Linked DNA regions of Struthio camelus. The protein of the gene in region 1 interacts with the protein of each later gene in a pairwise test. Links are inferred from orthologs where the notes say so. Each region holds a gene or a part of one and is shown in the gene's direction. Other genes may lie near its edges.

Region 1 (7,231 bases):
GCTGCAAAATGGACTGGATCGCTGTGCACATGTTCAAGCTCAGAGTCTGGTTCCCTTGCCTTGTATGCGTTGCCCGCCACAGCGCAGAGTGAAGGCAAAGTGAGCGCAAAGTGATATGATGAGGGACTTGCATTTCCTACTCTCTCTCTCTTCACAGGTATAAAGGAAAGCAGCAGCAGCAAGACAAGGCAGAACGGAGCACAGAAGAGTAGGATCCTTTTGTTATGAAAATTTGGTTGATTATTCCATTATCAGCAATGATCTTGGTCATATATGTGCATTTGCAGTATCAAATGCTGCAAAGCCAGGAGGGCCTCTTTGTGGTCAGTTTGGGGCTTGTTCAGTCTAAACATACTTGGTTGCTCTTTCAGAATCTTTCTGTGATCAGATTGCAAATAAACCTAAATATAAAATCAGATAAAATAGGGCTGAAAAGGAATTTGAGCGATCATGTGATTCAGCCCCTGCCCGAAGGGTGGATGTTGATCGGCGATATTTATGTCCCAAGAGATGTCTGCAGAACTTGCTTTTAAAAAAGCTCCAGTGGTAGAGACGTTGCCACCTCCCAGGCACCTAGTCACTATTTTTGCCATTAGGTATTTTTTTCTATGACCTGTTCTGAAGTTTCCTTACTAGGATGTGAGTCTGTTACTGCTTGTCCCCTTCACTGTGGCAATGGAGAGAAATTATTGCCTTCCTCTTTCCCACAATTGTTTGAATGCCTAAAGACTGCTGGCATGAGACTCTTCTCTTTAGACAAAAGAAGCTCAGTTCTCTCAGGTTTTTTTGTAGACTTCCAGTTGTTCTCAGTGCCCTCCTCTGGACTCTGCCCCGTTAGTCCCACCTTCCTCGAGGTGTGCAAGCCCAGAGGGATATGATGTTCTGGCTAACACTGTGTTTTGCACCACTACTCTGCAGGGCAGAAGGGGAGCTCTTATATGTCTTAAAGGTTTGTAGGAGGGTTTCTGCATTTATATCGCAGCATGGCACTTGGCTTTTTCACAGCTACAGACACTGTTAACACTTGTTCAAGCGCTGCAAGCCCTATAGTTCCCAGGCCTCTTCCACAGAACTGCTACTCGGCCTGTCCTTCCTCGCCCTCAGTGTGTACACCCCAGTGAGGTGCACCAGATCGTTCTGAATTCTGGTTATCTCCCTTCACCCCATCAACACTTTCTTTATCCTCAGGTCTCTTTTGGAATACAAAACTGCTAGTCTGCAGAAATAACTCTCCTTTTTGGCTCCAAAGGGTCAGCAGTGATTCTCACTGAACGCAGAGGTAACTACGCTTGTGTTGCCTTTACTGGACTGCACTCATGTCTAACGTGGGAAGAGTGTTACTTGTCTCTTGCAAAGCTTCATAAAAGTGCTGGAGATGGGGTTTCCCTTCACAGTTCTTCAGGATGGGACAGACTAGCTTTGCAGTGCAGATATTGAAAAGGAAGATTTGTTACAATCATTCCTCACCTGCAGAGGTACAGCAACAGCTTCAGTAGACCGAGTCTGAGGCATTTATGTTCAGTACTAAATATATGAAATACAAACAGGGTCTCAGAACAGACAATTTCATATTTTTGAGATGTTTGAATCTTTAGGGCAGACTTCACAGAACTCCTGTTGGACTGTGCCAAAGCATTTTCCCTTTACAATGCAGACAAACAAGTCAGGTTTACTTTGCTTGACCTTTTCTGATGACACCGCCACCCATTCAGTGCAAACAGTTGCTGTAACTCACCGTCTCAGATTCCTCTGCCTGCACTGAGGATAAATACAGTGTATGCCTTGACTTCTCCTGCTTCCTTGTGTTAACTTGGGTGAGGCCCTGAACCACAAACGCTTAATTTCATTGGTAAATCTTAGCAGTTACGGAAGTGATATCCGTGTTTGGTTAGTGACAGGTGGTGGAAGCTTCCCCTGTTGTAGCTCTACAACAAAGCGTTGTAGCACCTTGACCCTCATCTGGAACACCATTACTATTGCAGTCCTTGGTCCTTCTACCCCACCAGAACTGAGAATTCCTCTAACTGTTAAGTTTAAGGAAATATGTCTGTCACCTTCCTTGGAGATAGAGATTCACCGCTTTCTGAAGGGTCTGGACCCATTTCTTCTCCTCATCTTACAGTGGTAAAGGTTTCTATGTTTCCAGCTTTATACCCACTGGCTCCCTTGTTGACAAAGCTATTTCTTTACCATTAAGGAAAGAGGAACAGTCCGGTGAGAACAGCATTATTTTATCTGTTTAATGGCAGTGATTGGACAGTTATTGTGGTACACTGGAGCATGAGGGATCAGGATGCGATGGCTATGCCATTCCAGAAGCGTGAGAGTGTGAGTTGCTCATGATGCCCCATCAAAGTGATGGGAGAGCAGGGCCTGCATTGATCCTATTCACAGAGAAGACGTATTTTGTTTTGTTCCCAGCATTTTATTGCAATAGGATCCAAGTACTGCTTTGCAGAAACTGCAAGTGTCTTCTCTCTTTAGAAGATGATTTCCAAATGCCATTCCTCCCTCATATACGTAAGAAATTAACTGACTTTGTGAAAACAGCAGCACAGTTCCATCCTGGCCGAATTTATATCTTTGGCCGTTTTACCTGAAGGCTCTTTACACTTGACTGAAACATAAGGTAAAAGTAAATGTAACTGAAAGAGCCCTTTGTGTGTACCAGTATAAAGGCTTTTATGTGGGGAAGGTAGCACGTGGAGGCTAGTGTGATGAGCAGCCAAGGAGTGTCTAGGGTAGTGGTGATAGTCCTAAGGTCTTTGTGGAACATGGCAAGAGCCCATGAGGGCCACACAGTGGAAACCTAGCGTCTGGTTCAGACACAGGCCCCAGCAAGCCTCAGAACTGCATTTCCCCACAGTGACCCTCACTGTTGGCAACTTCTAGCTACATTTCTCCCAGGAGAGATGCACTGTTGTCTTTTTTTTTTTAATCCATATGCTTGTGATCAAGAAAGCCACTGCTGGGAGTTGGGACTCTTGGCCACCCTTCGTGGAGCCATGAAGGCAGGAACAGATTAATAAAACATCAGAGTTTCTTCAACAGGATTATTATAAGTGGTTTTCTTGAGTGTTGGTTGGAATAAGGATCTGAGAGGACAGGGATCCATAATCCTATTTATCTGAAGCCATATAATCTTCCTGAAGCTCCTTAATTACAGAGCAGTCGGATGGGCTGCTGCAGCCAGGCCCACCTGCAAGCCTGTTATTGAGAGCCATGGCAAGAAGATCTCCCTGCAGGGCTTGTGGCTGCACTTTAGGAACTGAGCTCTCTGAAGACCCATCTTTTCTGACTCTGCTCCCTGAGGGATACTCAGGGGCCGCCACAGACCGCCATTGCCTATCAGCTTGCAGTGGTATCTCTGGATCTGCTAAAGGGAGGGTTTGCTCAGTTCACCAAACTGAAATCACACTGCTGGGGATCTGTTTTGCCCTCAGGCACCCGCTGCTGTCCGGGGAGCAGCGAGGCAGCCCCAGGGCCTGGTGGCCCAGCCAGCCCCGGGCAGCTGCAGGTCTTGCCCTCCCGGTGGTCCTGGTGGCCCAGGGCCTTCTGAGCATGGCAGCGGGTCACCCAGCCCCTCACCACTAGTCACTGGTGTCCTGGGGCAGATGGGGGAGTCTCAGGAGGAGGCTGGCTGGTACCTTGCCTCCAGCCTGCTCCTCGCTGCACTCCAGATCCCTTCCCGGGGCCCCGCGGGGGGGTGAGCGGGGGCATCGCGGGCAGACGCTGGGGGCACGGCGGGGGATGCCCTGCCGGGCGCGGGGGGGGCTGCAGCGCGGCGCCCGGCGGCGGAGCGGGCCCGGCCGAGGGTGCTGCCCGGCGGCAGCCGCGCTCCCTTAAGGGGGTGTCGGCGAGGCAAGTCCCGCCCCGCGGCCGCTTCCCTATTCATGAGGCGGGGGCGTGCCGGGCCGGCCGGGCGGTGCAGCCTGCCGAGCCCCTCCGGAGCCGGCCACTGACAGCTGGCCCGAGCGGGACCCCGGCGCGGCCCGGCCCGGCCCGGCACGGCGCTCCCGGCCCCCCGCTGGCAGCTCGCTCCCGCGGCGGCGCCGCGCCCCCGGCCGCGGCCCCGCCGCCCCATGGACCGCCGCCGGCCCCTGGGCGGCGGGACCGTGCCCTGCCCTGCCCGCGCCGCGCCGCAGTGAGCCCGGCCGGCGGAGCGCGGCCAGCCGCGGAGCCGCCCCGCCGCCGCGGGCACCATGGACAGTATCCTGGAGCCCTTCCCCGCCGAGCGGCTCTTCCCCGCCGGCGGCCCCGGCTTCCTCGACCTCGGCGACTTCAGCGAGGCGGATTTCCTCAGCAATGTGGTAAGGGGCGCAGCGGGCGGCGGCGACCGCCGGCAGCCCCCGCGCGGTGCCCCCGGCGGGGGCGGCCGCCCCGGCAGGGTGTCCCGGCGGGCCCCGCCGCAGCTGGGACGGGGCACGCGTCGGGGCTCGGCGCCTCTCTCGCGGCGCAGCCGGCTCCCGGGGCGGCGTGTGCCCGGGTGCCTGTCCCGGGGCTTGCGCGCACCGGGCGCGCTCGCCCCGGCGCGCGGCGGGCAGGTACCCGGGCTGCCGGCCCTCCCGCCGCCCACGGCCAGCGCCTCCCGGGGCCAGCCCCGCGCCCCACTGCCCGCAGGCATCCTGCAGCGCGGTACCCCGGCGCTGCCCGCCACAGGCACCCGCCGGAAGAGGACCGATTCTTCCTAACATGCCCTTTTCAAGGACTCCTGCCTTGGAGAGAGGCGTGCGGTCCGAGGGGGAGCGCGCAACCTGCCGCGGCTCGGCTCAGACAGCGCGGGAGGCACGCACGGTCGGGTGGTGTCGGGAGACCTTTCGGCTCAACGCCTCTGTTTTCATGTGGTTATAACTTCTTTGCGGAGTGGCATTTGGGAGATGAAGCATCTCCCGCCTGTTAAAGCTGGGAGGATTTACTTTGGAGCGAAGAGTGAGGGGGAAGAGTGACTTGGGAGAAAAATGTATTGCCGGTCCCAAGAAACCAAAGGGGCATTGTTCACCTCTAAGGAAACTGCCCAGCCTCTCTGTGGAGTCATGCGAGTCCTGAGTCCGGCAGCTCCCTGAACGCTGCCCCTAGGCTCTTTGCTGTCCTGCCTGAGCAATGGGAGCTGTGTCTTTGGTGGAAATTTGTGCTGCAAATCTTGCTGCCCCTCTACCAGGGAGGATGCTGCCCTGATGAGGAAGGGGAAGGGTCTCACATCATGGATGGGTTGGGGTGAAGGTGGGGGATCCTCCCACGCTCGGCAGAGAGGCACTGCCTGCACTCGGGGCTCCCCCAGCCTCCGAGCAGCCTCAGCCACGGGACAGTGTGCCTGCCACAGACCAAGCTTCCAGGCAGAGAGATTTTAGCCCTGACTTGTTATTCCCTTGCCACAATACTGGCACCTCCTGTGCTCTCAGCGCAGCACTGTGAGCATCTCTGAGCACTAGCCTTGCAATGGGAGTAGGGGTGATGCCAGCACTATGACACAGGAGCAGGGGGCAGGGAAAGGGGGGCTATAGCCATTAAGCACCTGATAAATCCTCTTCTGCTTTCCTAAGCAGAAGCCTGAAGCCCTTCCTTTTATGCTGCCTCCCTTATGAAGGAGATAGTAGAGAAGCAGAATTTGCATATATGTTAAGTGTACCACACTTGGTGTGTGGAGACACAGTGGGTCTGTAAGAGAGATTATCAGCAGCCAATCCTGTCTCTCAGAAATCTCACCAACTCCTAATTTCCAAGACGCTGCTGTGCCTCAGGGACTGATGCCAGTTGGGGACTACGGGAGGCAGCAGACTCTCGCCTTGTTCTAGAACTGCCGATGGCAAGTCACCCTGAGACTGAATGCTTGCTCGCACTGTGAGGCCTTGTTTGCTCACAGCTGAAAGACCTGTTGTTATGAGTTCTGTGTTTTCCCTAACTCCATCTACATCCAAAGTGGATGAAGCTGTGCTGATAGAGAAGTGCTTTATGCCAGGACCGTTCCCTTACCTACATGAAAATAATAGGGCGTAACATCAGTCCTTTTATATAGGTCCAACATGGACTGCAATAAGAAGGCAGGGAACCCCTTTAAAACACACAGGGTACCTCCTTATAGTTTGAATATATCTTCTGTGTGCAAGCAGACCATGCGAAAAAGAAGCTTTTGTGTAAGAGTGCCATCTGGTGCCACCTGCCAGGACAGTGTTTTTAAAGTATACACTGATCATGAAGAGGCTGGCTCTTTCCTACCTGATTTCAATGGCCTTTCTGCTTGCAATGCTGCTTCTCAAAGTTGCCTGCTCTGGTCTCCACTTTCATTAGGTTGCAGTGACTCTGGCACTGTTGTGCTCAACTTACAAGTAGAAAAATAAATGCTTTGGTTTTTTTTCCCAATTGCCAGCACCATAAACTTCCCTGGAGTATGAGAGTCAAGCTGATACCTTGTCTTCCTGTGTATGATAAATAGAAGAGATTCTGTAGCTGTTGCTCAGCTATCAAATCTGTTGATGATACATGAGCCAGAACATAATATATCACCCTCTTTGTTCCAGTTCTGCATGATAACATGGTGGAAAGGAATACAGTTACATTTTGCTATTAAATCCAGCAATTCTCATGGGATCTTGAAATCTTTCGAGAAGATCTTCTTACACAGAACTGTGCAGAGCATCACCATGCACAGTAGTGCTCAAAGGCTGCCAGTGCCTTTGCTTCAAAGATGAACAAACATTTCCAGATATTGTTCAGCAAGTATTTTTCTTCAAACAGGAATTTTGGCCATAAAATGCCAGTATGAAACTTTTTCTTAGGAAGATTTCTTCTGTTCAGAATTGAAGCAGAAAGAAAGAAAGGATGGATGAACCTTCATATTCCCTACTGATGAGGCTGTGCTCATTTGGGATGAGAATTACATTCTTCTGAACTACTCTCCTTTCTTGAATGCTAGCATTCTTAACTAATCATCATGTCCTTTAAAAAAAGATTCTCTGCATTGTTCATTTGAAGGTGTGACAAACCGAAGTAATGACAGCACATCTGTTGATGCATCCTTAAAGAGGTCCATGTGCTTGAAAAAGAAAAAAAAAAAATATTGGTTTGAACAAGTCTGGGAGCTGCCATCCAGAGGGACCCAGACAGGCCAGAGGAATGGGCTGACAGAAGCCTCATGAAATTCAGCAAAGACAAATGCAATTTCCTGCACCTGGGATGGACTAACCAGGGGTCTTGGCGGAGAGTAGCTAAACATGCCAGCAGCAAAGGAGGCTAG
Region 2 (7,642 bases), on another chromosome or scaffold:
AGGACGGGCACCCAGGGGTCCAGCCACCCCCCGGACCCCTCGAGATGGGCACCCAGGGATCCGAGACCCCCCCGGACCCCTCGAGATGGGCACCCAGGGATCCAGCCACCCCCCAGACCCTTCGAGACGGGCACGCAGGGATCCGAGACCCCCCCGGACCCCCTCGGGACGGGCTCCCAGGGGTGGCGGGGGCTGACGCGGGCCCCAGGCCTGCCCGCTGAACCGCAGCCCGTGGTGCGGGGCGGGCGGCAGCCGGCAGCAGGCCTGGCAGGACTTCTCGCGCTGCTTCACGCCCGCCGTCACCGAGGTGGTGGAGTTCGCCAAGAGCATCCCGGGCTTCCAGGCCCTGGGCCAGCACGACCAGGTGCTGCTGCTCAAGGCCGGCACCTTCCAGGTGAGCGCGGGCAGGCCGGCGGGCGCCGCGGGGCGGGCACGGCTCGGGGGGGCTGCACGCGTCTGTCTGTGCGGGCAGCCCGGCGCGGGGGGCACGCGCGTGTATGCGCGTGGCGCTGCCCTGGGGGCGTGCACACGCATGTGTGTGTGTGCATACGTGTGTGTGGGCACACATGCATGCACAGCGCTGCCCTGGGTGCGTGCATGGTGCTGCTGGGGGTGTGCATGTGTGTGTGTGTGCGCACGTGTGTGTGTGTGTGCACATATGCATGCACAGCGCTGCCCTGGGTGCATGCACGGTGCTGCTGGGGGTGTGCGTGTGTGTGTGTGTGTGTGCGCACGTGTGTGTGTGCACATGCATGCACAGCGCTGCCCCGTGTGCATGCACAGCGCTGCCGGGGGTGTGCGTGTGCACACGTGTGTGTGTGTGTGCACATATGCATGCACAGCGCTGCCCTGTGTGCATGCACAGCGCTGCCGGGGGTGTGCGTGTGCACACGTGTGTGTGTGCGTGCACATATGCACGCACAGCCCTGCCCCGTGTGCATGCACAGCGCTGCCGGGGGTGTGCGTGTGCACACGTGTGTGTGTGCGTGCACATATGCATGCACAGCGCTGCCCTGTGTGCATGCACAGCGCTGCCGGGGGTGTGCGTGTGCACACGTGTGTGTGTGTGTGCACATATGCACGCACAGCCCTGCCCCGTGTGCATGCACAGCGCTGCCGGGGGTGTGCGTGTGCACACGTGTGTGTGTGCGTGCACATATGCATGCACAGCGCTGCCCTGTGTGCATGCACAGCGCTGCTGGGGGTGTGCGTGTGCACACGTGTGTGTGTGTGTGCACATATGCATGCCCAGCCCTGCCCTGTGCATGCTCGGGGCGGGCTGGCACGTATCTCCGTGCCTGCGCCCGGCACCCACGCCGCTGCCGGCCCTCTCCCCAGGTGCTGATGGTGCGCTTCGCGGCGCTCTTCCACCCGGCGCAGAAGGCGCTCACCTTCCTCAGCGGCGACACCTACTCGCTGAGCAGCCTGCGCGCCCTGGGCATGGGCGCCCTCCTCGACGCCATGTTCGACTTCAGCGAGAAGCTGGCGGCGCTGGCGCTCGACGCCCAGGAGCTCGCCCTCTTCATGGCCGTGGTGCTGCTGTCGGCGGGTGAGCGGGGCCGGGGCGGCGGGGCTTTCGGGGCCGGGCGGCGGGACGCGGCGGGTGCTGACGCCCGTCGTGCGCCCCGCAGAGCGGGCGGGCATCGCGGCGGCCGAGGCGGTGGAGGCGCTGCAGGAGACGCTGCTGCGGGCGCTGCGGGCGCTGCTGGCCCGCCGGCGCCCCGAGGACGCCGGGCTCTTCGCCCGCCTGCTCCTGCGCCTGCCCGACCTGCGCAGCCTCAACAGCCAGCACGCCGAGAAGCTCCTCGCCTTCCCCATCGAGCCCTGAGTCCCCGGTCACGGCTGCGCCCCCTCGGGGACTTCCACCCCCCCCCCAGTCCTCCCGGGGGGACGGGGACGCCCCCACCGCCTCGGGGATGCTCCGGGGATGGGGACGTCCCATGGCCTCGGGGATGCTCCAGGGATGAGGATGCCCTGGGGACGGTGATGCCCCACGGCCTTGGAGATGCTCCAGGGATGGGGATGTCCTGGGGATGGGGATGTCCTGGAGATGGGGACGCCCCACCACCTTGGGGATGCTCTGGGGATGGGGACACCCCATGGCCTCGGGGATGCTCCGGGGATGAGGATGCCCTGGGGACAGTGATGCCCCACGGCCTTGGAGATGCTCCAGGGATGGGGATGTCCTGAAGATGGGGATGCCCCATGGTCTCGGGGGTGCCCCAGGATGGGGACGGCGGCACACTGTGGCCTTGGAGATGCTCCAGGGATGGGGATGTCCTGGAGATGGGAATGCCCCACAGCCTTGGGGATGCCCCAGGGACAGAGACACCCCAGGGACAGCAGCAGCCTGTGGCCTTGGAGATGTTCCAGGGATGGAGATGCCCCACGGCCTCCAGGATGCCCCAGGGACAGGGCCGCCCTGGGGACAGGGACGCCCCACAGCCTCGGAGATGCTCCAGAGATGGAGACGCCCCATGGCCTCGGGGACACCGCCAGGGACGGGGACACCCTGGGGACAGTGGCACCTCGTGGTGTTGGAGATGCTCCAGGGATGCAGATGCCCCGGGGATGGGGACGCCCCACAGCCTTGGGGACACTCTAGGGATGGGGACGCCCCATGGCCTCGGGGACATCCCCAGGGATGGGGCTGCCTTGGGGATGGGGGCACCCCAGGGACAGAAGCAGCCTGCAGCCTTGGGACATCCCGGGGACGGGAACGCCGCCAAGGATGGGGCACCCTGTGGCCTTGGGGGTGGCCCGGGGATGGGGATGCCCCTGATGACGATGGCACTCCGGGGAGGGTGAGGCCCTGCGGCCTCGGGGGTGACCTGGGGATACCCCAGTGACGATGGCACCCCAATGACAATGGCATCCTGGGGATGATGGTACCCCAACAACGATGGCCCCCCATGCCCTCGGGGACACCGTGGAGATGATGGCACCACCGGATGGCAGTGACACCCTAGGGGACAATGACACCCTGATGGCGATGATGCCCTGTGGCCTCAGGGACACCCCAGGGGCCATGTCACCCCGATGGCAACAGCACCCCGATGGCGGTGGCACCCTGATGAGGATGGCACCCTCACGATGGTGGCACCCCGATGACGATGGTGCCCCAGGGACGATGGCACCCCGGGGATGATGGCACCTCGATGATGATGGCCCCGTCCCCGCGGTGCGTCCCCCTCCCCTCCCGCCTGCCCTGCCTCAGCCCCAAGGCCAATTTGGGCCGTTTTGGGGCTTTTTGGAGCAAGCGGGGCTCCCGCTCCCTCCCTCCCGCCCAGGTTTGGGGCAGGGAGGTCCCCGAGCTGGCTGAGGGACCCAGGCATCCGGGCCCTCTGGACACATATCAGGGCCGGGAAGGGGGTGGGGGTGGGAGGGCGAAACTTTGCACTTTGGGGCTGGGGCACCGCTGCAAAAGGTTTATTTTTTGTCTAATCTTGAAGTGCAATAAAGGAAATAGTAAACGGAAAGTGGCGGAGCGCTGGGCTGCGGCTGCGCGAGAGGGCCCCCGGCCACCACCCCCCGGCCACTGCCCCCCGGCCTCTCACAGCTGCCCCATACCCCCCAGGGCTGCCCATAGCCCTGGCAGATGCCCCACAGCCCTCACAGCTGCCCCACGGCTGCCCACGGCCCTCGCAGCTGCCCCATGGCCACCCCACGGCCCTCGCAGCTGCCCTACAGCCACCCTGCAACCCCCACAGCTGCCCTAGAGCCCTTGCAGCTGCCCCATGGCTGCCCCACGGCCTCCACAGCCCCCCCACGGCCCTCGCAGCTGCCCTACGGCCACCCTGCAACCCCCACAGCTGCCCTAGAGCCCTTGCAGCTGCCCCATGGCTGCCCCACGGCCTCCACAGCCCCCCCACGGCCCTCGCAGCTGCCCTACGGCCACCCTGCAACCCCCACAGCTGCCCTAGAGCCCTTGCAGCTGCCCCATGGCTGCCCCACGGCCTCCACAGCCCCCCCACGGCCCTCGCAGCTGCCCTACGGCCACCCTGCAACCCCCACAGCTGCCCTAGAGCCCTTGCAGCTGCCCCATGGCTGCCCCACGGCCTCCACAGCCCCCCCACGGCCCTCGCAGCTGCCGCACGGCCACCCTGCGGCCCCCATGGCTGCCTCACGGCTGCCCTGTGCCCCCCATGGCTGCCTGGTGGCCCCCCCAGCCCCCCCCAGCCGCCCCACGGCCACCCTGCGGCCCCCACGACCCTTGCGGCTGCCCCACAGCCCCCACAGCCACCCCACAGCCCTGCCACAGCGCCCATCAGCCCCGCAGCTGCCCCATGGCTGCACCGTGACTGCCCTGCGGCCCCCCCGGCGGCCCCCCGGCCCCCCGGCCGCCATGACAGGCTTCGGCCTGGCCCCCTGCAGCCCCCACGGTCGCCATGGCAACGGTGGGGGGGGCGCAGCACCATGGCGATGGCTGGTGTCTCATCCCCGTCTCCCCCCACCAGGGGGTGGGTGGGTGGCCTGTTATTTTGGGGGGAAGGCTCCGTTATTTTGGGGGGGGGGGGCATAGGGGAGAGGTCAGGCCGGGCGGGCGGGGCGAGCGCAGGGCCCGCGTCACGTGACGCCTGCCAAGATGGCGGCGGCCGCGGCGGCTCCGGCCGCGGCGACGCGGAAGCGGAAGCGGGTGCGCGCGGGCGCCGGGAGCGCGCGGCCTCTCCCCCCGCTGAGGGGCAGGTGGGGTCGGGGGGTGAGTGTGGGGCCGGGGGGTCAGTGAGGGGCCGTGTGGGGCCGGGGGGTGAGTGTGGGGCCGGGGGGGGTCAGTGAGGGGCCGTGTGGGGCTGGGGGGTGAGTGTGGGGCCGAGGGGGGGTCAGTGAGGGGCCGTGTGGGGCTGGGGGGTGAGTGTGGGGCCGGGGGGGTCAGTGAGGGGCCGTGTGGGGCTGGGGGGTGAGTGTGGGGCCGAGGGGGTCAGTGAGGGGCCGTGTGGGGCTGGGGGAGTCAATGTGGGGCCGAGGGGGTCAGTGAGGGGCCGTGTGGGGCTGGGGGGCTCAATGAGGTGCCGTGTGGGGCCGGGGGGGGCTCCGTGAGGGGCCGTGTAGGGCCAGAGGGGGTCAGTGAGGGGCCGTGTAGGGCCAGAGGGGGTCAATGAGGGGCTGTATGGGGCCGAGTCAGTGGGGACACTGCAGGGGCCCAAGGGGCTGTGTGGGGCCAGCTGGTGGGGTCACCGAGAGAGGCCCTATGGAGCTGTGTGGGGCTGGAGGCTGTGGGTCCCTGGGAGGGGCTCAAGGGGACTATGGACTGTAGGGTTAGATGGGGCTGAGAGGTCACTGAGAGGGGGGGCTGTGGGGCTGGGGGGTCACTGAGAGGGGGGCTGGGGGCCTCTGTGGGAGGGGCTGCCTGGGAGGGAGCCGTGGGGTCAGTGGAGACATACAGAACAGGGGCTGTGGGGTCTGTGCAGTGGGGACGTATAGATCCGGGGGGCTGTGGGGATGTATAGGGCAGTGGGGGGGGGATGACTTGGGGGGCCTTAGGTAGGGTGTGGGGAGGGGGCTGCCAGGGGCAGAAGAGTGACATGGGGCCAAGTTTGGGGGGGGGGGACAAAAAACCCAGAGGTGCCTTTTGGGCACGAGCTGCCCCAGGGGCTGCAGGGGCTGGAGCTGCCGTGGGCTCGGTGGCTTTGCCTGGGGCCGCCCATGCTCAAAACTTGCGGCCACTCACGGTCTTCACCCGTCTCCCGGCAGCAGGGACAGACCCTCACCCTGTTTTCTCACGCCCCGGGATCAGGGGGACGTCCGCTCTGGCAGGACAGCGGCTCACGGCGGGGGCCTGGCATCTCCGGGAGCTGGTTGCAACCCATAGGACTGTCCGGATGCTGCGGGGCTTCCCCTGGAGCAGAGACCACCCAGGTGAGCTGGGGACAGGTGACAGGGTGAGACGGTGGTGGCCCTGGCTGCCTGCCCAGCCCTGCCCTGCGACTACACAGACCTGTTCGCCTTATTTTATTTTTTTTTTTTTTAAGTCACCTGGAAAGATTCGGCTGCAAGGCAGCAGCGAGGAAGATGTGAGGGGCAGGCTGGAAATGAGGATTAGGGACAGGAGCAGGGGACAGCCTCTGTAGTGCCTGGGGACAGGCAGGCTCTGGACATAATACAACTGGGAAACCAGAGGTTTTAGTTTTTTGGATTTTTTTCTTAGGCTGTTTTAGCACTTCTGTTCAAACACTTGGTTTAGGAGTGAAGCCAAACCCTTGACAGACAGATCCTGGATCTCGTCAGTCCTCCCGGCATATCACGTGCTTTTTCTTACCCTGAGGACTATCCCATCCCCATAGAATGCAAATAAAACAGGATGTGACTTTATTTTTCCTGCTATTAAACAGCTTTTCTGTTTGCAATTTGCCCTGAACCCCTTGGCTTTCTGGGTAGGCACAGGAGAGTCATCAAAGAGTCTGAAACCAACTGTGCTGCCAACGGCCTTGTTCTCACTGCGGACCGCTTCTTCTAGGGCTTGTGCTCACGGCGCAGATGGGAGCAGGATGGGGCTGGCGCCATGGGATGAGCCACAGCCGAGCCCCAAGGGACAGGCTGGGATGGCAGGTCACTGTGGGGAACGCTGCGGATGGGGACTGTAGCTTCACCTCCTGGCAGAGAGGCAGAAATTAGTGTACAATGGGGTGGAGGGTTGAGGCTTGGCTGGAGGTGGAGCTGTCCTTTCCTCCGCCTCTGCGGATCGGCTTGTCACTGGGGAGCAGAGGTAGAGGGACAAGGAGGCTCCTACGAGCGATCGCGGAGGAGCCGCAGGATGGGCTTTGCACTCTCCATTTCTGAGTGATGGCACTTCTGGTGTTGCCTTTATGGAGACCAGTCTGTGACCTGGCAGACCAGTGTCCTGTGGAGTTTTTCCTGCTTCTCAGACCGAGTTTCGTAACTGCTTCGCTCCACCCTGTGGCTCTGCAGTAAATGCAGCCCTTCCCGTCTGCCGCAGCCCTTCCCATCTCCCAGCCGGAGTCAGCTCTGCCTGCGGCTTGTGTCCTCATGGGCATCTGACCCAGGGTCCAAGAGCTTTGAGGGCTGACAGTTCAAAATCAGCTGCTGAGGAAGGACGGCCTTGGGGTGCCCAGGTGTCCCGGCTTGCGTGGGCAGAGCAGCAGAGCGGTTGCTTCGGGGCCACTCCTGCAGAACAGTGCACCTCCCATCCGGATGTCACGGCATTTTCTTCTCCTCTCTCAGGAGCTTCGCGGTAGCCCTCTCTCCCAGAGATGCCCGTGACGCTCTGAGGCACCATGCTCTTCACCGCCTATGCCGCCTTCGCCGTCCTCTTGGCCGTATGCTTGGGCTTGGAGTTCTCCGCCTGCCGCTCCAAGCTCACCGGTAGCGCGTGCACCAACCCGGCTTTCCTCCAGTTCCAGCGGGACTACTACCAGGTGTATTTCCTGGCTCTGGCCGCCGACTGGCTGCAGGGCCCCTACCTCTACAAACTCTACCAGCACTACCGCTTCCTGGAGGGGCAGATTGCCATCATCTACGTGTGTGGCTTTGCCTCCAGTGTCCTCTTTGGGCTGGTCTCTACGTCCCTGGTGGATTGGCTGGGCCGGAAGAAATCCTGCATCCTCTTTTCTTTGACCTACTCGGTCTGCTGCCTCACCAAACTCTCCTGGGATTACTTTGTCCTGGTGGTCGGGAGGATATTAGG
Region 3 (7,209 bases), on another chromosome or scaffold:
GTTGCAGGAGGACACCCTCCTTGGTGGCCACCTCCATGGGCAGAGTGAAGGGGACATGGTGATGGGACACCCTCCTTGGTGGCCACCTCCATGGGCAGAGTGAAAGGGACGTGGTGATGGGACACCCTCCACGGTGGCCACCTCCATGGGCAGAGCGAAGGGGATGTTGCAAGAGGACACCCTCCATGGTGGCCACCTCCATGGGCAGAGCGAAGGGGACATTGCAGCAGGACACCCTCCTTGGTGGCCACCTCCATGGGCAGAGTGAAGGGGATGTTGCAGCAGGACACCCTCCTTGGTGGCCACCTCCATGGGCAGAGTGAAGGGGACATGGTGATTGGACACCCTCCACGGTGGCCACCTCCATGGGCAGAGTGAAGGGGATGTGGTGATGGGACACCCTCCTTGGTGGCCACCTCCATGGGCAGAGCGAAGGGGACATTGCAGCAGGACACCCTCCTTGGTGGCCACCTCCATGGGCAGAGCGAAGGGGACATTGCAGCAGGACACCCTCCTTGGTGGCCACCTCCATGGGCAGAGTGAAGGGGATGTTGCAGCAGGACACCCTCCTTGGTGGCCACCTCCATGGGCAGAGTGAAGGGGATGTGGTGATGGGATACCCTCCTTGGTGGCCACCTCCATGGGCAGAGTGAAGGGGACGTTGCAGCAGGACACCCTCCATGGTGGCCACCTCCATGGGCAGAGTGAAGGGGACATGGTGATGGGACACCCTCCTTGGTGGCCACCTCCATGGGCAGAGTGAAGGGGACATGGTGATGGGACACCCTCCATGGTGGCCACCTCCATGGGCAGAGTGAAGGGGACATTGCAGCAGGACACCCTCCATGGTGGCCACCTCCATGGGCAGAGTGAAGGGGTGTGGTGGCAGGACACCCTCCTTGGTGGCCACCTCCATGGGCAGAGTGAAGGGGATGTGGTGATGGGATACCCTCCTTGGTGGCCACCTCCATGGGCAGAGTGAAGGGGATGTTGCAAGAGGACACCCTCCATGGTGGCCACCTCCATGGGCAGAGCGAAGGGGATGTTGCAAGAGGACACCCTCCATGGTGGCCACCTCCATGGGCAGAGCGAAGGGGACATTGCAGCAGGACACCCTCCTTGGTGGCCACCTCCATGGGCAGAGTGAAGGGGATGTTGCAGCAGGACACCCTCCTTGGTGGCCACCTCCATGGGCAGAGTGAAGGGGATGTGGTGATGGGACACCCTCCATGGTGGCCACCTCCATGGGCAGAGTGAAGGGGATGTGGTGATGGGACACCCTCCATGGTGGCCACCTCTATGGGCAGAGTGAAGGGGATGTGGTGATGGGACACCCTCCACGGTGGCCACCTCCATGGGCAGAGTGAAGGGGATGTTGCAGGAGGACACCCTCCTTGGTGGCCACCTCCATGGGCAGAGTGAAGGGGATGTGGTGATGGGACACCCTCCACGGTGGCCACCTCCATGGGCAGAGTGAAGGGGATGTGGTGATGGGACACCCTCCACGGTGGCCACCTCCATGGGCAGAGTGAAGGGGATGTGGTGATGGGACACCCTCCATGGTGGCCACCTCCATGGGCAAAGTGAAGGCGTCTCGGCCCTGGGACATCCCCGTAGCCAGCCAGGGGAGGGTGGCCAGACCACGGGGACACCTGTAGCACCCGCGGGTCCCTCCAGGTGGGCTTCAACAGCGGCGACGACACCCACTACTACAACGTGCTGGGCTCGCGGACGCCGGCGGTGCTGCACGTGGGGCGCACCTCCAACGTGGGCGTCCCCGGGCGCTGGGTCTTCCGCGTCGACGAGTTCACGGCCACCGAGGGGCCACCACCGGAGACAGCTTGGGACACCCAGGGGACACCCCGGGCCACCGACAGGACGCCCGGGACCACCCAGACGACAGCCAGGGCCACCGAGGAGACATCGGAGGAGGAACCCAGCTACATCTGCGGGTGGTGGGTGGCCTCCGAGCCCGGACGCCTGGGTCCCTTCTCCGGGGCCGAAACCCGGACGCCTGGGCCCCCTGACACCCGCTTTTTGTCCCCCTCCACCCCCTCCCCGCAGACGGTGAAGGCGACTCCACGGGACCCGGCGCCAACCCAACGCGCAATAAAGAGCCGCCGGGCAGCCGGCGGGCGCAGCGACACGCGTGTGCGTGTGCCGGGGCACGGCCGGGGTGGGGGGCACCCTAATACCCGCTCCCCGGGCACCCTAATAACCCCCCTGGGCACCCAATAGCCCCCTGAGCACCCTAATAGCCCACCTGGGCACCCAAATAGCCCCCTGAGCACCCTAATAACCCATCTGAGCACCCTAATAACCCCCCTGAGCACCCTAATAGCCCACCTGGGCACCCAAATAGCCCCCCGGCCACCCTAATAACCCATCTGAGCACCCAAATAGCCCCCCAGACACCCTAATACTCCCCTTGAGCACCCTAATAACTCCCTGAGCACCCTAATATCCCACCTGGGCACCCAAACAGCCCCCCGGGCACCCTAATAGCCCCCTGGGCACCCTAATAACCCCTTTGAGCACCCTAATAACCCATCTGAGCACCCAAAGAGCCCCCCTAATAACCCCCTGAGCACCCTAATATCCCACCTGGGCATCCTAATAGCCCCCTGGGCACCCTAATAGCCCCTCTGAGCAACCTAATAACTCCCTGAGCTCCCTAATATCCCACCTGGGCACCCTAATACCCCCCTGAGCACCTTAATAACCCATCTGAGCACCCCAAAAGCCCCCCAGGCACCCATATAACCCCCTTGAGCACCCTAATAACCCCCTGAGCACCCTAGTAGCCCCCCTGAGCACCCTAATATCCCACCGGGCATCCTAATATTCCCCCTGGGCACCCTAATAGCCCCTCTGAGCACCCAAATAGCCCCCCGGGCACCCTAATAGCCCCCTGAGCACCCTACCCTGGGCACCCTAATAGCCCCCCTAGGCACCCTACTAGCCCCCCTGGGCACCCTAATAGCCCTCTGAGCACCCCAATAACCCCCCTGAGCATCCTAATATCCCCCTGGGCACCCTAATAGCCCCCTGAGCACCCTAATAACCCCCTTGAACACCCCAATAAACCCCCTGGGCACCCTAATAGCCCCCTGAGCACCCTAATAACCCCCTTGAACACCTTAATAAACCCCCTGGGCACCCTAATAGCCCCTCTGGGCACCCAAACATCCCCCTAAGCATCCTAATATCCCTCCAAGCACCCTAATAACCCCCTGGGCACCCAAATACCCGCCATGGGCACCCTAATAGGCCCCCTGAGCACCCGAATAGCCCCTTGGGCACCCAAATATCACCCCCTTGAGCACCCTAATATCCCACCTGAGCACCCTAATATCCCACCTGAGCACGCTAATAACCCCCAAGGCACCCTAATATCCCCCCTGAGCACCCTAATAACCCCTTTGAGCACCCTAATATCCTACTTGGGCACCCTAATATCCCCCCCGAGCACCCTAATAACCCCCCTGAGCACCCAAATAGCCCCCTGAGCACCCAAATAACCCCCTTGAGCACCATAATAACCCATCTGAGCACCCTAATAATCCCCCTGAGCACCCTAATAAGCCATCTGAGCACCCTAATACCCCCTTGAGCACCCTAATAACCCCCCTGAGCACCCAAATAGCCCCCTGAGCACCCAAATAACCCCCTTGAGCACCATAATAACCCATCTGAGCACCCTAATAATCCCCCTGAGCACCCTAATAAGCCATCTGAGCACCCTAATACCCCCTTGAGCACCCTAATAACCCCCCTGAGCACCCAAATAGCCCCCTGAGCACCCAAATAACCCCCTTGAGCACCATAATAACCCATCTGAGCATCCTAATAATCCCCCTGAGCACCCTAATAAGCCATCTGAGCACCCTAATACCCCCTTGAGCACCCTAATAGCCCCTCTGAGCACCCTAATAGCTCCCTGAGCACCCTAATATCCCACCTGGGCACCCTAATAACCCACCTTGAGCACCCAAATAGCCCCCTGAGCACCCTAATATCTCTCTGAGCACCCTAATAAGCCATCTGAGCACCCTAATACCATTGGGCGGGGGAGGGGGGGGGTCCTGACTCCTACCTCCCCCCACGCTGCCCCCCCTCCGCCCCTTCCAGGTGCAAGCCCCGCCCCCTTCCCCGCCTAGGCCCCGCCCCTTTCTCCCCGGCCCTGCCCCCTGCCCCGGGGGGCGTTTGCCTGGCCACGCCCCCTCCCAGGTGCGGCCCCGCCCCCTCGCCTTCCAGCTCGACCGTTGCCGGTGCGGGCAGGTGAGTGGTGGCAGCCCGGACGCCTGGGCCCCTTTTGGAGGGGGGGGGGAGGGGGAGGTTCTGGACGCCTGGGCCCCTTTTTGGGGGTGAGGGGTCCCAGACGCCTGGGCCCCTCTTGAGGAGGGGTCCCCGGACGCCTGGGTCCCTTTTGGGGTCCCCGGACGCCTGGGCCCCTTTTGGGAGTGAGGGGTCCCGGACGCCTGGGCCCCTCTTGAGGAGGGGTCCCCGGACGCCTGGGTCCCTTTTGGGGTCCCCGGACGCCTGGGCCCCTTTTGGGAGTGAGGGGTCCTGGACGCCTGGGCCCCTTTGGGACCGTCCCCGGACGCCTGGGCCCCTTTTTGGGGGTGAGGGGTCCTGGACGCCTGGGCTCTTTTTGGGGTCCCCGGACGCCTGGGCCCCAAGAGGGGAGGGGCGGGGGGGAGGGGACACTAGGCAGGTCCGGGACCCCCCCCCCTCCCTCCTCCCCCAACCCCCACCCCCGAAGGGACCCAGGCGTCCGGGGGCCGGTGGCACCGCCTGGTTCCTGCCTGTCTTATCTGGGGCCAGGCTGTGCCGGGAGAGGGACCCAGGCGTCCGGGAGCAGCCCTGCCTCCCCCCCCATCCCCCCCCTGCCAGACTTGAAGGGGCCCAGGTGTCCGGGTGCCCTCTCAAGGGGCCCAGGCGTCCGGGTGTCCCCCCCCCCCTTTCCAAGGGGCCCAGGTGTCCGGGTGCCCTTTCAAGGGGCCCAGGCGTCCGGGTGTCCCCCCCCCTTTCCAAGGGACCCAGGTGTCCGGGTGTCCCCCCTCTTCCAAGGGGCCCAGGCGTCCGGGTGCCCCTCCAAAGGGACCCAGGCGTCCGGGTGTCCCCCCTTTCCAAGGGGCCCAGGCGTCCGGGTGCCCCCCAAAGGGACCCAGGCGTCCGGGTGTTCCCCCTTTCCAAGGGGCCCAGGTGTCCGGGTGCCCTCTCAAGGGGCCCAGGCGTCCGGGTGTTCCCCCTTTCCAAGGGGCCCAGGTGTCCGGGTGTCCCCCAAAGGGACCCAGGCGTCCGGGTGTCCCCCGCTTTCCAAGGGGCCCAGGTGTCCGGGTGCTCTCTCAAGGGGCCCAGGCGTCCGGGTGTCCCCCAAAGGGACCCAGGCGTCCGGGTGTCCCCTCCTTTCCAAGGGGCCCAGGTGTCCGGGTGTCCCCCCTTTCCAAGGGGCCCAGGTGTCCGGGTGCCCCCCAAAGGGACCCAGGCGTCCGGGTGTCCCCCCCTTTCCAAGGGGCCCAGGTGTCCGGGTGCCCCCCAAAGGGACCCAGGCGTCCGGGTGCCCCCCTCCTCCAAGGGGCCCAGGCGTCCGGGTGCCCCCCCCCGCAAAAGGGACCCAGGCGTCCGGGGATCCCCCTCCCCCCAAGGGGCCCAGGCGTCCGGGTGCCCCCCCCCCCCCGCCCTTCCAAAGGGCCCAGGCGTCCGGGCTGTGACTCACCCTGCCTTGGAGCTAGAAAGGGCTCAGGCATCCGGCCCCACCCAAAAGGGCCCAGGCGTCCGGGCCAAAACCCCACCCAACCCTGGAACTCGGAGGGGCCCAGGCGTCCGGCCCCACCCAAAGGGGCCCAGGTGTCCGGGCTGTAACCCCTGCCCGGGAGCTTCAGGGGACCCAGGCGTCCAGCCCCCCCCCCCCCATGCTCTCCCCAGAAGGGGCCCAGGTGTCCGGGTCTCCCCAACCCCCCACCCCACCCCAAAGGGGCCCAGGTGTCCGGGGACCCCCCCAATATTCCCCCCCCCAAAGGGGCCCAGGTGTCCGGCCCCCCTCCACCCCTAAAGGGGCCCAGGCATCCGGCTCCACCCAAAGGGGCCCAGGCGTCCAGGTCCCCCCCCCGTCACCTCCAGAGGGGCCCAGGCGTCCGGGTCCCCCCCATCACCTCCCGAGGGGCCCAGGCATCCGGGCCCCCCCCCGTAACCCCCCCCACAGGGGCCCAGGCGTCCAGGTCCCCCCCATCACCCCCACAGGGGCCCAGGCATCCGGATCCCCCCACCCGACTCCCCCAAGGGGCCCAGGCGTCCGGCCCCCCCCATATCCCCCCACCCAAAGGGGCCCAGGTGTCCGGGTCCCCCCCCCCCCAAAGGGGCCCAGGCATCTGGCCCCCCCCATCACTTCCCAAGGGGCCCAGGTGTCCGGGTCCCCACCCCACTCCTCCAAGGAGCCCAGGCGTCCGGGTCCCCCCCATCACCTCCCGAGGGGCCCAGGCGTCCGGGTCCCCCCCATCACTTCCCGAGGGGCCCAGGTGTCCCGGTCCCCACCCCACTCCTCCAAGGGGCCCAGGCGTCCAGGTCCCCCCCATCACCTCCCGAGGGGCCCAGGCGTCCGGGTCCCCCCCATCACTTCCCGAGGGGCCCAGGTGTCCCGGTCCCCACCCCACTCCTCCAAGGGGCCCAGGCGTCCGGGTCCCCCCCATCACCTCCCGAGGGGCCCAGGCGTCCGGGTCCCCCCCATCACTTCCCGAGGGGCCCAGGTGTCCCGGTCCCCACCCCACTCCTCCAAGGGGCCCAGGCGTCCGGGTCCCCCCCATCACCTCCCGAGGGGCCCAGGCGTCCGAGTCCCCCCCATCACTTCCCGAGGGGCCCAGGTGTCCCGGTCCCCACCCCACTCCTCCAAGGGGCCCAGGTGTCCGGCCCCCCCATATCCCCCCACCCCAAAGGGGCCCAGGTGTCCGGGTCCCCCCTCATATCCCCCCACCCCAAAGGGGCCCAGGCGTCCAGGTCCCCCCCCATATCCCCCCACCCAAAGGGGCCCAGGTGTCCGGGTCCCCCCCATCACCTCCCGAGGGGCCCAGGCATCCGGATCCCCCCCCCACTCCCCCAAGGGGCCCAGGTGTCCGGCCCCCCCCACCCCACCCCTAAAGGGGCCCAGGCATCCGGCTCCACCCAAAGGGGCCCAGGCGTCCGGGTCCCCCCGTCACCTCCAGAGGGGCC
Region 4 (7,802 bases), on another chromosome or scaffold:
GCTAGACACTGGGGGATCTTCACAAGCTCTTGGGATTTAGCACTATGTTGTCAGCAGTGCTCCTGGCGTGCTGTCTCTGAGCAGCTGCTAGCTCAGCCAGGGGGCTGTAGCCAGGCAGAAAGAGAGAAAGAGCCTTTCACCTGGAGGCCAAATCCAAATCTAGCTTATCTCAGTAGGGACTAAAAGTTGCAATCTGTGTCATGGACTGAATGAAGCCCTAGCCAAGAGACAGCTCGGCCCTCTCCCAGAGCCCAGGGCAACGTCCACGGAGGTAAAGGCAACAGCTCCTGCAACCTTTGCTCCCGGTTGGATCAGTAAGAGATGGGAGACCCATGTGCAGCCTCAGCCAGGGAGACGCCGGTGTGTTCTTCCCAGCTGCCCGGTTGAGACGAAGCCCCTGCCACCTGCCCTGCTGCTCTGGGGGGATGCCAGCCCTGGGCTCGCTCACGGGCTGCCCGCCACCGATGTGACACAGCCCACTGTGTGCAGGCTTGAGTAAAACCTTCCCAAACACCATCCCTGCCCTGCTGCAGGCTGTGAAACCCCCTGCCCATCTCAAGAGGGACCCATGCCCCACCCTTGAGGCTGGGCTGGGTGGCAGCCCCACCACTGGCTTGTGCTACTCAGAAGAAAGCATCGGTCTTCGGCCTTGCCTCTGCCTCGTGTTTCTGCCCTCTTGCTGCCTATTTCAGCCTGGCTTTTGCCTTTGGGATGTCTTAGAGGAGCTGGGATAATGTCATGGGTAGAGAACTAAAGAGAAGGGGCTCAAGAAGAAATCTAGCCTGCAAAATGCTAGCTCCTCAACAGGCAAAATACACTTCAACATCTAGTTATAGGAGCAAGGTTGGCTGTGTTGTAGCCAAGTAGTGACAGAACCGTTCCTGCTCTTGGTCCCAAAGTGAAGCTGAACCACCTCTTCTCCTGCAAGCAAAGATAAAAAGACACCACTGTATCTGCAGTGCAGCAGGGCTGGGTACTTGGAAGAGATCTCTTAGGAGCAATAGCGCGTGCCCAGTGCTGAAAGTCTCGGCCCTGGTTTTGTGCTAGTTTCCACTGTGACGGTTTCCAGCGTTGCCATGCTGTGTCTGCTGCGTGAAGATGGCTCACCAGAGATGTGCTGTGGTCACTGCATCGGCAGGGTCTACACGTCCAAGCCTAGCTGTGGAGCCCTTCGTGCTGTTTTGGCAGGAACCTCGTGCTTCCTGGCCCTGGATCATAAGTGACAATCACTGCCTTAAATCAGGCACAGCACGTGGTTTTGCTGCTGCTTCCCTTTGAGGTGCTACAGTCCCTTCAGTTTCTGACCTGACAGAGATGTTTGCCAGTGTCCGTGCCAACCATTTTACTGCTGTATCTGTCCTCCACCTTGGCCTTTCCTTCTCCATGGTCTCCAACATTGGCTAATAGCAATATCCACAGGTCACCAGCGATGCTGCAGTCCTCCACGCTCCTGTGATCTGGCACTGTCAGGTGGGAGATGGCTGGGGGCTCCCGTGGCATTGGACAGTCATCCCTCCTGCCTCTCTGCCAGCCGCCCTTTCCTCGCTCCTCCGTGCAGGAAGGAGCTTTCTGATCCCTCTGCTGCCTGGGGATGCTCCATGGTGCTGACTAAGCCTGGAAGAGTTGGGGATCCTGGACTCTCTCCGGCAATGGGAGTGTGGAAGTGATTTGGTTGAATATTGAGGTCCCCAAGCCCATTTGAACTATAGACTTTGGGAGGTGGGGAAATACAAATTGCTGTCAAACTTGCTTCCACATCGCCCAACTTGAACTCCTCCTTTCTCGTCTGCTTTCCAGAGTTGTCTTCCTCTGTCCAAGGTTTCCATTCTGTTGAATTCAGTGGTTACGATGTGCCTTTCCTTCTCAGGACCTGTTACAAATGACCTTTCTGCTTTTATTTGTCTAACATTTATCTTTATTCCTCCCTCTGTCATACATGAACATATTGCATGGAATACAATACAATAAAAAGTGTGACTTAATTGATCTGTAGTGGTTCACTGCTCCATGTGTGGTGGGAGGCAGGAGGATGTGCCCAGAGGACCAGGGAGACCTCTGGGCGTCCCCAACTCCATTACAGCTGGGCTGGGTCACTTCAGCAGAGAGCCTGTTTCACAAGCTCCTGCCAAATCACCCCAGAAACAAACAAATCCTCTAACAAATCTGGCCCTGAATCTCATAAAATATCTATTACACACATCTGTGTCTTGGAGAAGGTGAGAGAAAAGAAGTTGGCAGATGGGAGACATACTGCTCTGCATGTTTGTGCATGCAGCACAGATCAGCTCTCCCACTGCAGAGGACCATCAAGCCAAATCCCAGGCAAGTGTGAGATGCTCCCCTTGCATATGCATAGGGAGGCATGGGCTGAAACTATTATTATTTCAGGCCTTGTTGAGGGCTGGCTGACCCAGTGATGACTGTGTAGAGCTTGGGGCAAGTGGGATGCCAGCTGGTTCTTCCCCTTTGCTGGCCAATCCTCTCCTGCTTGCACTAACCAATCCTCCCTCTAGAGTTAGGGCCAAATAATCATCAGGAGTAATCCTGCAAATGCAGCCTCTTGTGAAGTGGCACTAAATGCTTGTGTTCATTGGTTTAAGATGTTGGAAAGTATTAAGGCTATTTAAATAGCTGGCAAGGGGAGTTTTTCCCTGTTGTGCTCATCCAGAGCAAGGCAGATGGACAGGTGACTCAGAAGAACACAAGGAAGTGCCCTCCTGGGGCCCCTGTGCTCCTAAGCCTGGGGAACACAGCTTGGGCGCTCATCACTAGGGCTCCCAGCTCAGTGAGCTTACGTTGCTTCCTAAAGCTGGGCGCAAGCCATAGAGGTTGAGGGCAGAGCCTCAATAGTTGAAAATCTCAGGGTTGGGGGTGGTGGGGGGAGCAGGGGCATGGCTTATTTACAGCTATGATTTGACCCAATGCGAAAGTGACGCGTGGCCCCTGGGTTGCAATTTGAGCAGGCAAGAGTTTGGGTTTTTGGTCCTCCCAAGACACGGAGCTGTGGCTTTGGGTTATAACACAAAGCTGGGCTGTTGCTAGCAACGCTCTCTGTTTACATTCCACATTCCAGAAAGTCCGATGCTCCGGCCTGCCCCAGCAATGCCACTGCTTGGCAGCACGCTCTGCCGCGCTGGGAGCGTTTCCCAAACACCTCTTGTTCGACAGGACCTAGCCAGGATGCAAATGCACCATTAAGCGCCTCTGAAAGAACTGAACCTCAAACTGTGGCTGAGAAAGCAGGGCTGCAGGAGAGCCCAGCAGCTTGGATGCGCAGCCTCGCTCTGCCCAAGAAGATGAAGGTAACCGCAGTTTTGCTCTCTTTAGTCGTATTACATTGCTTGTAGATGCTGTTATTAAAAAGGGCATTTTCTAGAAAGGGTAAGTACAAAGACAGCTTCACTTGTTTCTAAAATGCACTTTCAATCATTTCCCCTGCTCATCCCTGCTCTGGACACTGAAGTGCTCCCTGCCCCTTCTCCTTGGAGGTTTAGTGTCCCCTGAGCAACACCAAGAGAAGGATGTCTGAAACAATCGGGAGATGGGAAACGGCATGGGAGGAGAGAGTATCGGAGACAGGGCTGGAGGAGGACTGGTCGCGCTCCCCGGCGCTGGGCGCTGTCGGCGGGCAGGCAGGAAAGTGTACCGCTGGGACCAGGGAGGCTGCAGAGCAGGGGAGCAGCTGTTTGTTACGGGAAAACAAATTCCTGAGAGAAAAGCTCCTCTCCTTGGAGAAGTCACGGAAAAACCAAGAGCTAGAGTGCTCCGGAGAGGCCGGCCAGATCCCACCAGACACAGCAACCTAGGACCTAGGCACAGGTCCTGGGCGAGGCATGAAAGACGTCTGAGCCAGAAAGCGTGCTGTGCTGGGGGAAGGATCGCCAGAGGCTGAGGACAGGGTGGGTCCTGGGAGGCCTCCCCGAATCCTTCAGCTTTGGCCAGCTGCGGGATCAACAGGCGCTGGGTACTGTGGCAGCCGCAGGAGCAAACCTGCATTTTCTTTTCTAGTGAAGTTTCTGGGTGTAAAACGACTGTTATTCCTCTGGGTATGAGAAGCAGCAGTGGTGAAGTCCCCACCCCTGCTTCCTCTCTCAGAATCAATTAACGGGGATAGATTCACCCCAGCAAACCCCCGGCACCCTTCCCCAGGAAGACTCTGCTGCGCGGAGGTACCCCGGGAGGGCGAGCAGCGCTCCCCTTCCCCTCCGCCCTTCCGCCAGGGCCAACAGCTTGCAACGCAGAGCGGTTGCGTGAGGAGGGTAAAGCACAACCGACACCTTTTTTTGCCCGGGTGTTCGGGCCCGCTCTGGCAGATAAGCGCAGGGGTTTCCTTTCATTTCTCCCCCGCGCCGGAGCGCGAGGCGCGTGTTTCTCGTCAAGGGCGACAACAACGCGGCGCTCGGGCGCTGGAGTAACTTTTGTTGTCGCCAAGCCGGAGCGGGCCCTGCTCGCCCCGCGGCCTGAGGCCTGAAACCGCAGGGGCGACCCAGACTCTCAGGCCGGGCCCGGGCTCGAGCAGGGCAGGCCCAGCCGCGTCCCCCCACCACGGGGGCCGCGCCCCCGCCGCCCGGCGGGTGGGAGCCCGGCGCGGCGGCGGCGGCCGGGGCTGCGGCCCACCCGGCGCGGCAGCCGCAGCCCCCGCTCCCGCCCGCCGCTGCCACCGCCGCCGCCGTCCTCATGGCGGCGCCGCGGGGCACGCCGGGACTTGTAGTCGCGCTCCTCCCACGCCGGGCCCGTTGCCTGTGGGGCGGGCCGGGGGCCGGGGGCAAGGGGAGAGCTGGCGGCCGCGGGGTTCCTCTGCCTGCCCGCAGCCGCGTCCGGGCGGAGGGGGGGACCGCACTGCCTTGGCCGCCCCTTTGCTTGCCGAGGGGACTACACGTCCCGTCGTCCCCCGCGCGGCGGCGGCGGCGCGGGGCGTTGTGGGGGTTGTAGTCCGCGAGCGCGGGGCGCCCCCGCCCGCGGAGCGGTTCCGGCGCGGCTCGGCGCACTACATTTCCCGTCGGGCGGCGGGGCCAGCCCGGGCCCCTTTGGCGGAGACATTTGCGAGTCGAGTGTCTCCAAGATGGCGGCTTGGGGAAGGAGGCGCGCTGGCCCCGGCAGCACCACCAGCAGCGGCGGCGGCCGGGAGAGGTGAGCCGGGGCGGAGGCCGCGGGAGGTGGGAGCCGGGGCTCCGCGGGCGGGGAGGGAGCGGCGGGGAAGGCGGCCCCGCGGGGCTCCCCGCGACCCCCGGGCAAGGGCGGGGGCGCCCCGCTGAGGGGCGAACGGCGGCGGCGGTGCCGCCGCTGCTGAGGGAGGCCGGAGGGAGGACGGCGGGGCCGGGGCCTCCCGCGGCGGGCGGGACGGCGAAGGCGAAGGGGAAGGTCAACCCTTCCCGCGCGGGGATGCGGCGCTCGGGGCCGGCGTGGAGGAGGGCAGCCCCGGGGAGGCTCCTCGCGCGGCTATTTTTACCGGCCGCCCGGGCAGCGGCCAGTCGGCCAGGGTGACCTCCCTCCTGCTGTGGGGCTGCCGGAGCCGGGCCGGGCCGGGCCGCTCCGCGGGGGGCGTCTGGGTGCCTCGCTCTCCCTCTGCCTCTGTCGGGACGCGGGAGGAGCTGGGACGCGCTGGAGCTGCCTGCGGGGTAGCTGTGGAAGTTGGGGGAGCCTAAGTTTCAAAGGCAGGAGAAAGAGAGAGAAAAATCTCGTTGAGCTGCTTTAGAATCCGTGTGCACAGTTCTCTACCGACTTAAAATCAGCAGTTAAAGCTTGTATTTCATACGCTGCTATTTTCCCTGTTTTGCCCTGGGGCTGACTAATGTAACCAGAAGCTTCTGAAAGCGGCTGCGTTTTTATGGAGAACAGAAGTTTCCTTTTATTCTGCTGCTTTACCTAGAGAGTCTGTTTTCCCTGTGACTCTTTACTGTGGGTTTTGTTTCACCTTGCTCCCATGCTGTATTTCAAGAGTATTATTTTTTGATGGTACTGAAGCTATGCAGCCAAGGAGAGTCGCAAGCAGTACTTAAAATCCTAGTGCCAATGCGAAATGCAGGAATGCTGTCTGTGTTCAGGGAATTTAGAAGTAATTGAATTGGAAGAGCTGATGGAATTACCGCATCAGCATAGTTTATATAAACAACTAAGAATACCAGGGAGCTCGGTGGCATAGTGGTAAAGCTGTCTGCAGCCAGTGCTGACGCCTGCCCCAGAACTATACACATGAAGAGCTTTCATCTGGCAGACCTTGCCTCCCAATGGAAGTGAAGAAAAAACGTGAAGAGTACTGTACTTCAGTGAAAATTATCCTGCCAGGATGAAAATTCGTGCAGATTTAAAAATGAATTTTTACTGTGTAACTTAATCTGTGAACTATACAATAATCTGAAGTAATTGAAAGTATTTTAGCTATGATTATTCTTCATCTTATGATCAAAAATACTTATTCATAAACATGAGTTACCTACTTCACTGACCTTCAGTGTATATTAGCTTTCCTTTTACAGTGAGAAGTATGTAGCTGTATGTAAGTAAGGACAGACGTCCTTACAAGACAATAGCTGATCTGTGACTATGATACACCATTGACCAGTGCCTTATGATCCTATCAGAAGATGCTTGTTCTGTTAGGTGTCATGCCATACGAACCTAGCACGAGATCATACTTTTAATGAGTGTCAGGTGATGTCACTCAGGTAGTACTTGTTCCTTGCAGTTGCGAAGCTGGAAATGCACGTGACTGGGCCTCTGTCTCTCTTGATCAGTGTCTAATCCTAAATCATACCAACCAATCTCGTTTGGCTGCTGGCAATGCAAGTTGTGTAAAAAGCAAGGCTGACAGAGCTGATGTCATCAAATGACGACATATGCTTTTTATATAGCAAATACAGTTTTCTTACGCTGAATAGGATTTTTGTCCAAAGACACATTCCTTCAAACTGAATATACTAATCCAGCTTTTTCATAAATGAGCTGCTTCAAGGTATTTTTGTATTTGTCCGCCAGCTAGTCTAAAAAGATCTCTGTTGCGAGGTAGCGTCAGGGGACTTGGTAGTGAATAAAATACTGTCTGCTGTTAGGCTAGACTAGCTTTCATTTAAAAAAAAAAAAAAATCCAGCAACTATATCTGTGGAGGCTGCATCCTTTTGTAAGTGACTTTATTGATAAAAGGGATTCTGTAATTGATTGAAAAGTACTTTTCTGACTAGGAATAAATGTAAAAATATTAATTTCAAATACTATTGGCCATGAATTTTAATTTACTCTCTGGTGGTGAAATAATAAGGTTAAAAAGAACAACCCAAAGCACTGAAAAGAACCCACTAAGTACTTATTTTTTCTTCATTCTGGATAGACTCTTTAATGGAGACTGTCTAAAGGGAATTGTTAATCTCTAAAGCAAAACAACTTTTTATACAGAACAGACACTGAATTGTACTTGGAGTTGATGCGTAAAACTCAGCACGATGACCGTCAGAACACAAAACAGAATGCCACTTGTTCCCTGAGGAGATGTTCTAACAAACTCCAGAAAGAACAGCTTTAATGTCATCACCACTAACTTACATTGGCTTCTCTGCACCCTTAAAGATCTCTCCTTTCACTACCAGTACTGCTCAGATTTCAGGTAATCTGTTTGCTTAGAGCAATGATTGACCTGTTTCCATTGGGCTGGCTAATCATTAGTTGACTTAAAATTGACGCGCCTCTTTGCTCTGGTGGCTGGTGTATTTTTGTTATGGCCTGGTTGCGTTTTCCTTGGTAGATGTTGTCTTCGTTTGCCAAGACTGTTTGAAGATCTCACCTATGTTCTCCAGTTCTTCTCCATTTG

The links.
Region 2: the proteins of CREB3L1 (region 1) and MFSD5 interact in binary tests that used the Homo sapiens proteins (3 or more experiments, as listed by UniProt). The two-hybrid records come from large-scale screens. The link is inferred for Struthio camelus from reciprocal best matches to the Homo sapiens genes CREB3L1 and SLC61A1.
Region 3: the proteins of CREB3L1 (region 1) and FXYD domain-containing ion transport regulator 3-like interact in binary tests that used the Homo sapiens proteins (3 or more experiments, as listed by UniProt). The two-hybrid records come from large-scale screens. The link is inferred for Struthio camelus from reciprocal best matches to the Homo sapiens genes CREB3L1 and FXYD3.
Region 4: the proteins of CREB3L1 (region 1) and TMEM11 interact in binary tests that used the Homo sapiens proteins (3 or more experiments, as listed by UniProt). The two-hybrid records come from large-scale screens. The link is inferred for Struthio camelus from reciprocal best matches to the Homo sapiens genes CREB3L1 and TMEM11.

The regions. Positions count from the first base shown.
Region 1 is NC_090946.1:40,126,431-40,133,661, reverse strand, and holds the start of CREB3L1 (cyclic AMP-responsive element-binding protein 3-like protein 1), read left to right. Parts: upstream 1-4,140; 5' UTR 4,141-4,202; coding exon 4,203-4,310; intron 4,311-7,231.
Region 2 is NC_090969.1:1,568,294-1,575,935, reverse strand, and holds the start of MFSD5 (molybdate-anion transporter), read left to right. Parts: upstream 1-4,556; 5' UTR 4,557-4,699; intron 4,700-5,691; 5' UTR 5,692-5,856; intron 5,857-6,454; exon of another isoform or gene 6,455-7,179; 5' UTR 7,180-7,232; coding exon 7,233-7,642. Other genes in the region: nuclear receptor subfamily 1 group D member 1-like, read left to right, coding at 209-394, 1,339-1,549, 1,632-1,828. UniProt on the Homo sapiens protein: Mediates high-affinity intracellular uptake of the rare oligo-element molybdenum.
Region 3 is NC_090974.1:266,594-273,802, forward strand, and holds the start of FXYD domain-containing ion transport regulator 3-like, read left to right. Parts: upstream 1-4,198; 5' UTR 4,199-4,281; intron 4,282-7,209. Other genes in the region: sushi, nidogen and EGF-like domain-containing protein 1, read left to right, coding at 1,678-1,955, 2,065-2,065. UniProt on the Homo sapiens protein: Associates with and regulates the activity of the sodium/potassium-transporting ATPase (NKA) which transports Na(+) out of the cell and K(+) into the cell.
Region 4 is NC_090956.1:4,349,909-4,357,710, reverse strand, and holds the start of TMEM11 (transmembrane protein 11, mitochondrial), read left to right. Parts: upstream 1-4,767; 5' UTR 4,768-5,062; coding exon 5,063-5,130; intron 5,131-7,802. UniProt on the Homo sapiens protein: Plays a role in mitochondrial morphogenesis.